Linked DNA regions of Tribolium castaneum. The protein of the gene in region 2 purifies or fractionates together with the protein of the main gene of each other region. This does not show direct contact. Links are inferred from orthologs where the notes say so. Each region holds a gene or a part of one and is shown on either strand. Other genes may lie near its edges. The genes, in order: calcium homeostasis endoplasmic reticulum protein and U2 snRNP-associated SURP motif-containing protein.

What was found.
Region 1: the proteins of U2 snRNP-associated SURP motif-containing protein (region 2) and calcium homeostasis endoplasmic reticulum protein purify together in Homo sapiens (affinity purification with mass spectrometry; 4 studies listed by BioGRID and IntAct, with this or other methods). This does not show direct contact. The link is inferred for Tribolium castaneum from reciprocal best matches to the Homo sapiens genes U2SURP and CHERP.

The regions. Positions count from the first base shown.
Region 1 is NC_087395.1:15,657,112-15,660,611, forward strand, and holds the end of calcium homeostasis endoplasmic reticulum protein, read right to left. Parts: intron 1,993-3,500; coding exon 1,859-1,992; intron 1,731-1,858; coding exon 1,371-1,730; intron 1,324-1,370; coding exon 1,023-1,323; 3' UTR 771-1,022; downstream 1-770. Other genes in the region: mor (SWI/SNF complex subunit SMARCC2), read left to right, coding at 1-613. UniProt on the Homo sapiens protein: Involved in calcium homeostasis, growth and proliferation.
Region 2 is NC_087403.1:336,978-341,363, reverse strand, and holds the start of U2 snRNP-associated SURP motif-containing protein, read right to left. Parts: upstream 2,907-4,386; 5' UTR 2,737-2,906; coding exon 2,719-2,736; intron 2,669-2,718; coding exon 2,552-2,668; intron 2,502-2,551; coding exon 2,405-2,501; intron 2,356-2,404; coding exon 2,166-2,355; intron 1,554-2,165; coding exon 769-1,553; intron 153-768; coding exon 41-152; intron 1-40. Other genes in the region: arrestin domain-containing protein 3, read left to right, coding at 3,851-3,959, 4,006-4,376.

The DNA.
Region 1 (3,500 bases), on a different chromosome or scaffold from region 2:
GAAAGAACCCGAGAATAAAGAAGAAGAGAAAAGCGAAGAAAAGAAACCCGAGCCGGAAAAAGAAGAGAAGGAGGACAAGCCGGTCAAGAGCGAAACACCAAGCGAACCCGTCAAGACCGAAAAGCCGGAGGAACCGGAGCGGAAGCCCGAACGGACTGTGAAAGACAGCGAGATGCAGAGCGCGGCGGCGGCGGCTCTGGCTGCCGCCGCCGTCAAAGCCAAGCATCTGGCGGCGGTTGAGGAGCGCAAGATCAAGTCGCTGGTTGCGTTGTTGGTCGAAACGCAAATGAAGAAGTTGGAGATTAAGTTGAGGCACTTTGAGGAGTTGGAGACGACGATGGAGCGCGAACGCGAGGGTTTGGAGTATCAGAGGCAACAGTTGATCACGGAACGGCAACAGTTTCATTTAGAACAGTTGAAAGCGGCCGAGTTTAGGGCCCGCCAGCAGGCGCATCAGAGGCTGCAAGCGGATCAGGGCCAGTGGGCGATGCAACAGCCGCAAATGACGCATTCAGCGCCGCCCAACGAGGGGGCCCCGACTAACACGCCCACGCCCCCGAGTCCACAAGCGGCGGCCGTGGCGTCGCCGGCAGCCCCCCATCATCTAGCATAAGTAGGCTAAGTCTTAATGAAGGTATTAAAATCGTAACTTTGATTTATTCGCTTTATATTGGGTTTTTATTTTTATGTAGGTCACAAATCTGTGGTTCTTGTATTAAACTGTCGAAACATGGGTGTTTGTTTTATTCACTCATACAGTAAAACCAAAATTGTTTGGAACAATTTATTCTCATATAATACAATGAATGTGGACTTAATTAAAAATAGGATTTTTATTTAGTCGACGTAGATTTGTACATTACAATTATTTACATACCTTTCTTTACAATACGTGAGAATCACTTGCGCAACATAACAGTCAAAGAGGTACCGGAACATTACGTTTGATTAAAGTAAAGTAAAAAATGATGCTCTAACACGGAAAATACGGTACGAAAACGCAGTCAAAATAATGAAAGACCCTAGTAGTCAAGTAACTTACTCTCATTGGCTCTCTCCTCGGCCCGCGCCTTCATTCGCGTAATGAACGCGGCCCCCTTATTTTTCCTAAAGTTTTCATACGGATCGTTCAAATTACACCCTACACCTTTGAACTGATCTTGCCGATCGCGCACGTCCCCCCCGGAGATGGGGGCGTCGATGCCCTGCTCGTTGGCCCCCAAGCCGCTCCCGCCCCACCCCATTTTCCGCAACATCTGGTGTCCCTTATTGGTCGAGTCGATTTCCTGTTTCTCGTTCCGCACGAAACTCGGTGGTGCACTGCTGCAAGTAAAGTGAGTGGTCGTTTCGTTTGAAAATGCCAGTTGTACCTGAAACTTAGGGTTGGCGGCGGGGATGGCGAGCGCCTGACTGGCGACCTGGAGGGCGATCTGGAGACGCTCCTCCGCCTCCGGCCACCGCTCCGCGAGTGCCTCCTGCGCGGCGTGCGCGGACTCCTGGACCTGGAGCGCGACTTGGACCGGGACTTCGAGCGGCGCCTTTGCGGCGAGGGCGATTTGCTCGTGTACCGTCGTTTGGGCGGCGACGGCTCCTTCTCCATTGGCAGGACTATGGGGCTTGGGCTTCTGGACTTCTCGCGGAGGCCGGCGGCGATTTGCTCCTCCTTTTGCCGTTTCGCATTGTTCTTTGCCTTGTAGTATTCATACAAACCTAGCTTTTCCCAACCTTCACTGTTTTTACAACGCACATTGTTTATAAGAGAAACGACACGTCAGCATAATTAGTTATAAAGTATAGTATTTTTTGTATTGTGAATGTCAATTGAGACAATAATGTGACCTAATTGTCAATGTTTTACCTGTCTCGGGGCCGTTCGTGGCTGGGTAGTGAATAAAAGGCTTCCACAGCGGCCAGGAGACGATCGCTAGGGGGCGCTGGTGGTGGCAACCTAATATCTTTAGGATCTAACGGTTTATATGATGTATCTTCCAACTAGAATAAGTGTGTCAAAAACTATTACATGGTCGGAAACACTCACAAAATCTAGTTTTTAATTAATTTGTACATCTGAGACATCGAACAAAGTGGACACTCGGTTTCGCACTACACTTTCAACAGCTTCGAGGATCCATCAACGTCAAATGTCTCACTTTTCAAGCACGACAAACATTAATCCAAAACCGCAACTAATTCGAATATATTTTTTGAAACCAAGACTTAAAAATGTTTATGACAAAATCATTAGTAATATTAAATACGGCCTCCTGAAGCAATACGACATGTGGTGCCAACTAGTGAGGAAATCATAAGTGACGTTAATACAGCTCGGAAAAAAGATCTAATCAGAATTTTGTTAATGCAGTTAACAATAAGGAATAATTTGCTTAGAAATTCCCAACAGAGGTAAATTTATAAAAGATTTGGAATATATTTTTTTACTTACTTCACGCAGTACTGAAAGAATTAGTAACTGTATTCTATATCCGTTAGAAATTTTGAAAATACCAACTACAAATGTTTATTTTTGCGCCGACTAAAAAACCTAATACATAATATATACATAATAATATGAGGTCGAAAATATACTTTACATTATTTATTATTTTATGCTGTGTAAAATCAGCATAAAATAAGATAAGCTCAAAAGTGTAGCCGTAAATAAGCGGCTAAATTCTGGCTTCCTCAAATACAGCGTGCTCTAATTCAGAACATTCCGATCTCATGGTATTTGTTTCTTTTCTCACCCTGTATAGTAACATTGTTCGTTTTTTTCTGAAAAGATTGTACTATTTTGTCTTATTAAATATCACTAAACAAATAATTGGAAAAAGATGGCGTCTATATTATTAAATTCTTCTTAAAAAGTGGCTTTGTTTTAATTGTTTATCTTTTACAATAAGGAAGTTACGAATATTTAAACATTTCGCTTGAAATTATTTGCTCAAGAAATAAGCTTAAAAATGCGGCAACTCAGCAGAGATTATATTTTTTATTGGTGACGTTTTATCCATATCCTTACACAATCATTAGTGTCTCGTTTAATTTTAATCTGTTTGTTCTTTGCTAGTGTGCATAAAATCACAAATCAATAAAATAATCGATAAAACTTTCAAATTCTTTGGTTAGTATGTGCTACTGAAATGGATTTCTCAGGATGAAAAGGAGGAAACAATCTGGACTAAGGGGTTAGTCTTCAGTTCTTTTTAGAAAAAATTATATTAAGCAACGGCTTATACAAGGTGCTCAAAAACTGGCGTGGTACGTTATTGAGAAGCAAGTGCAGATTACGGGAAAAATGTTGAAAAAATTCCTAAAGTATATTTTAAAAAATCTGGAGCTACAAACTTATTGTGTTAACTTCTTTAGTTTTCATATTTTTTTTATATTTTTATGTTTTATACGAGGTAATCGTTCCGTAACAAAACGATGAATAATTATTTTAAAATTTACTATCAGACTTTAGCAGTTTTTTTAATTTAAAAAAATTAAAATTCATCAAA
Region 2 (4,386 bases):
ATCAAATCTTAGTTTTTGCATATTTTCACGCGTTACGTACGTGTTAGAGAGGGAGCCTTTCGTACTCTCTTTACCCTCGTCGTCGTTCACTAGTTCATCGGGCATCCCGGCAGTGTACGAATTCATCAGAGGGGGCTTCCAAATTGAACCGTCTTCGCAAGCAAACAAGAAATGTTTTAAATTATATAATTCTATTACAAAAGATCTAGATATTTTCTTTCATAATTTCCGACCAAAAACTCTACAATTCGATCTATTTAGTCTCTTTTTCTTCGTAATTTATAATGTTTTGTACAAGTGTTATGTCTCTATTTTGTCAGTTTTTTCTTTTTTGGTATTTTTTTACATATTTTATTTGTATTGTTTATATATTGTAACTGTAATGACTACTCGTCCATTTATATAATTTTATCCATACGAATTACATACAATACAAATGTCCTTCATATACTTCAGAGTATACGTCATTTTTTAAGAATAAATGTTTTTAAAGGTGACAAAATTTACTGGAGGATATAAAACCAGAACAACTTTAAACGATAAAAAGAACTTTAAAGAAAAACACAAATGGTATTATTTTTATTGCTTCTGTGGATTTTCTTTAAAATTCAATAATATCCCAACTTTTTTCAAAGTTTATTTGTATCCGTATGTTGTGTATCATGTCTTGACGGAGATTATAATTTTGCCGTTTGAGAGCGTTTTCGCGAAATCTCCACAAAATTAACACGTTTTAGAGCAAAACCGTCCAAAACACCAAATTCTTACTTTTGAAAAGTCGAAACTCTTTGACGCTCCACTCTTTCTGTGAATCCCCGTGCATGATGGAGTAGAGTTTCCACCGGTAGTAGATATGAGCCGGGCTTTGATTTTCGAAAAGAAACCTGTAATTAGGGTTGTGTATCTCCCGGTTCATAATCATAGCTTCCAACATGGGCCCCTCCCGAACCACAAACTCGACCATTCTGTGTATCAACATCAACAGATTTCTATCGGTCGGAATCACAACTTTGACAACACTGCGCCCCAAAATCTCGTTCAGTTCCTCTGCAGATTTGGGCAGAACGTCCTTATCCCGGGCGCAGGGCTGGGCGTTGAAGGGCAGTCCTGAGGGAGGCGGAGGGAAGGACAGTTCCAGGAGCGCGGGAGGGATGTAAATGGGATGTGGAGGGATTATTACCGATTTTCCCCAACCAAGTTTCATTTCATAACCTAGGATTTCTTTGCCGTTTAAGTTACGAAGCGCCCTTTCGCCGTCTTTTCGGCTCATGTAGGCCACGAAGCCGCAGTTGCGGCCCCGGGCCTTCTCCTCGTCCGAGCGGGGCCACATTATTTTAATACTAGCAAGGGGGCCGTAACGACCGAAAATTTCCATCAACTGTTGCTCGGTTATTTTGGGGTTGAGGTTGCCAAGGTAGAGGTTTGTCGTTGTGGGGTCGCCGTTATCGAACGACCCCAAGTCACCGCTCCGCAAAAACATGTCCAGCTCGGACTCCATGGGGGTCCTGAGCACCCCTTTGTACTTGTGTCTTTCCTCCCGCTCCTCCTGAATCCTGGCAAAAATTTCATCAAATTGTGCCACAAAACAAGAGACCGGTCAGAATAGACATTTCAATTTCCAAAAATTCGCATAGCGGTGAAAATTCGTACAGGACTTATGTAAACTATGACAAATAAACTATAAAAAAACTCCCCACCGATCCGACGTGTGCTAAAAAAATATTTTAATAACAATAATAATTTATTTATCCTTAGAAAATTTACATTAATTTATAGGACACGTCAAGTAATAAACTCATCATAACTGTTTTATCAAGATATGGTCAAATAATACGCCTAAGTATTTTATTGTTCCTAAGTTTTCAAAATTTATATTACGGAGAGAGAAAATCATTCATTTTGTTTTGCGTTCATTTAAACATAAGTACATTTGCAGACCATACAGGCGCTTTTTCCTGCATTTGGCATAATTCCGGCTTTACAAAAAAATGCAAAAACCGATACTTTTGTCCTTTGACATTGAATAACTTTTTTAGCACACGTGGGATCGGTGGGGACTTTTGATATTTTATTTGTAATAGTGTACCTAAGAACTGTACCAATTTTTAGCTCTACGCTTATCACTACATTTTTGTCTATTTTGACCAACTCAATGGTATATTTACTGTCTTAATTCCTCTTTAAACGCCTCTAGGTTGCTCTTAGTGTGCTGTTTCTTCTTCCCTAACCGTTCAGGCTTCTTATCTGAGATTAATTTAGCGTAAAACTGAGCTTTTTCCGTTGATGCCATTAATTCAGTGGGGGCTAGTCGGGACTGCGGTTTGTACAACTTGCCCTTGTCTTTAGTATCCTCCTCTACAAAAGCCCAATTTATTTTTGATTTTTTTCACAATTTAAAAAATACTTCGCGCTCCTGCATCGTAAGTCCCCGCTTTGACCCACACTTTACTCGAGCTGCTAATAGGGGACTCTTGGAACGTAGCGACAAATTCCTCAAAAACCTTAAATCGAAGAGGTTATGTAAAAAATACTACTGTATTACTAGTCCTACATGAGCCGCAGCCCGTTCCTCTTCTTTTTTCCGTTGTTCCTCTAATTCTTTTTTAGATAACGAACGTTTCCCCATCGTGCCGATCGAAAAAGCCTTTAATTTTTGCTCAGGAATGTTCTGTTACGAGAAAAACGTTAGTTTTGAGGGGTTTTATTAGGGTGAACTACCTTTATTTTATCACCCATTTTGGACGCAATTCCCACCAAACACTTCACAAAACGGTTTTAGCTAATTAATATTGAAGGAAACCTAATAATAGTCATAATATAATTGTTTAATTTCCTGATATGAAAAAATAATAATACACTGGTGGTTTTAGGGAGTTTGCGTTTTCATATTGTGGGCTATTGGCGACGCTGACACTGCGTGTAAACGTTCCCAAACTTTGGGCGAAAATACATGAACCAAAAAACAACAAAGTTAAAACAATATCCACACGTTTTTGTACTTTTTGTAAAAAACTAAAAAACTCGAAACTAAAAATTGATAACGTAATTATGTAACGTTTTATAAAAAATGGGTGTATTACGTGTTGCCTACAAGAACACTCCAAAATCTCGTAACTATGTTTATTTCAAAAATAAACAAAATGTTTGTGTTTACTGTAATTATTCAAGTCATTAGCTTCATTATGTGTTTATCATTTTCACATAAATCGTCCTATAAACTCATCAAATAAAAAATATATATAAATTAATAAAAAACGCAGACTGTTAATTAATATTTGTATCAACAAAAAAAATCATTACTATTTTATTTTCATTTTATTTTGGGAAATAATAGTCTCTACGACATGTGAATCGCTAATTACATAATCACTACTGCCAAGGCCGCTTTAGAGGTCGCCGCTCATTATTAGTATTATTGCATAACAGTGCACTTGAATTGCAGTTTTAGGGCGAAAAACTGTTTTCGTAGTCATCGATAGAGTAGTGTTTACGTGTAGTCGTATCAGCATTTTACGTTATCTCATTCATTTAGTCACAATTCTCCTTCCTTGTTTACTTCAATGGCCACAATTTACGACCTCTTCGTCTCACATTAGTGGGATGGGCTCAAATATTTCAACCAGTTTTTATTTTTAATTCAATTCAGTGGCGCCATTCAAGGCTGAATTCTCGTCGAAGTGGTGAAAAGAAATGAATTACGTCTAATTACGCCACGGTTTTTCTTCACTTAGGTACGTGGATGATTTATAATTGATTTATTAAAATAAACTGTCTCATTCATGAAACACTAAGGTAGGTTAGGATTTTACGACACATTTTTATACAGGGGGTGATCCACAATTTGGGCGAAATGTCTCAAGTTCGCATTTGTTTGGAGAATTATTCTGGGACATATTATGCCGGATCTGAGATTAGGGGCCGGCTTGAGTGTTATTTTGATGAAGAGACTACTGTTAGAGGTGCATTATGATTTTTGTAGCAATGTGTTTTTACATTTTTTTCTAGGAATAAAACTTGAGATCATATGTAGGGAACATAATGAGTGGACTGGGACTGAGGAGTATAAGGACCCAACAGACAATTCCACTAAAACACGACATATTACTTTAACCGGGGATCATGACGTGTTTCATGTTAAACAGATGTTGTTTGGGTCTGAATCTGGGAGTCGGGAGGTGTCTAGGGGGCGCCAAGTGTACCCTTTTTCGTACCATTTACCCTACGATATTCCTTCGAGCTATCATGGCCCCCATGGCTCCATCACTTTCAAACTAAAGGCTGTGGTTGATAGACCCATGCGGGTTGATTATGAGGATAAGTTTATTTTTAATGTCATCTCCCCGATTGATTTTAACAGGTTGTCAAAGGACTTACAAGTAATTTTTT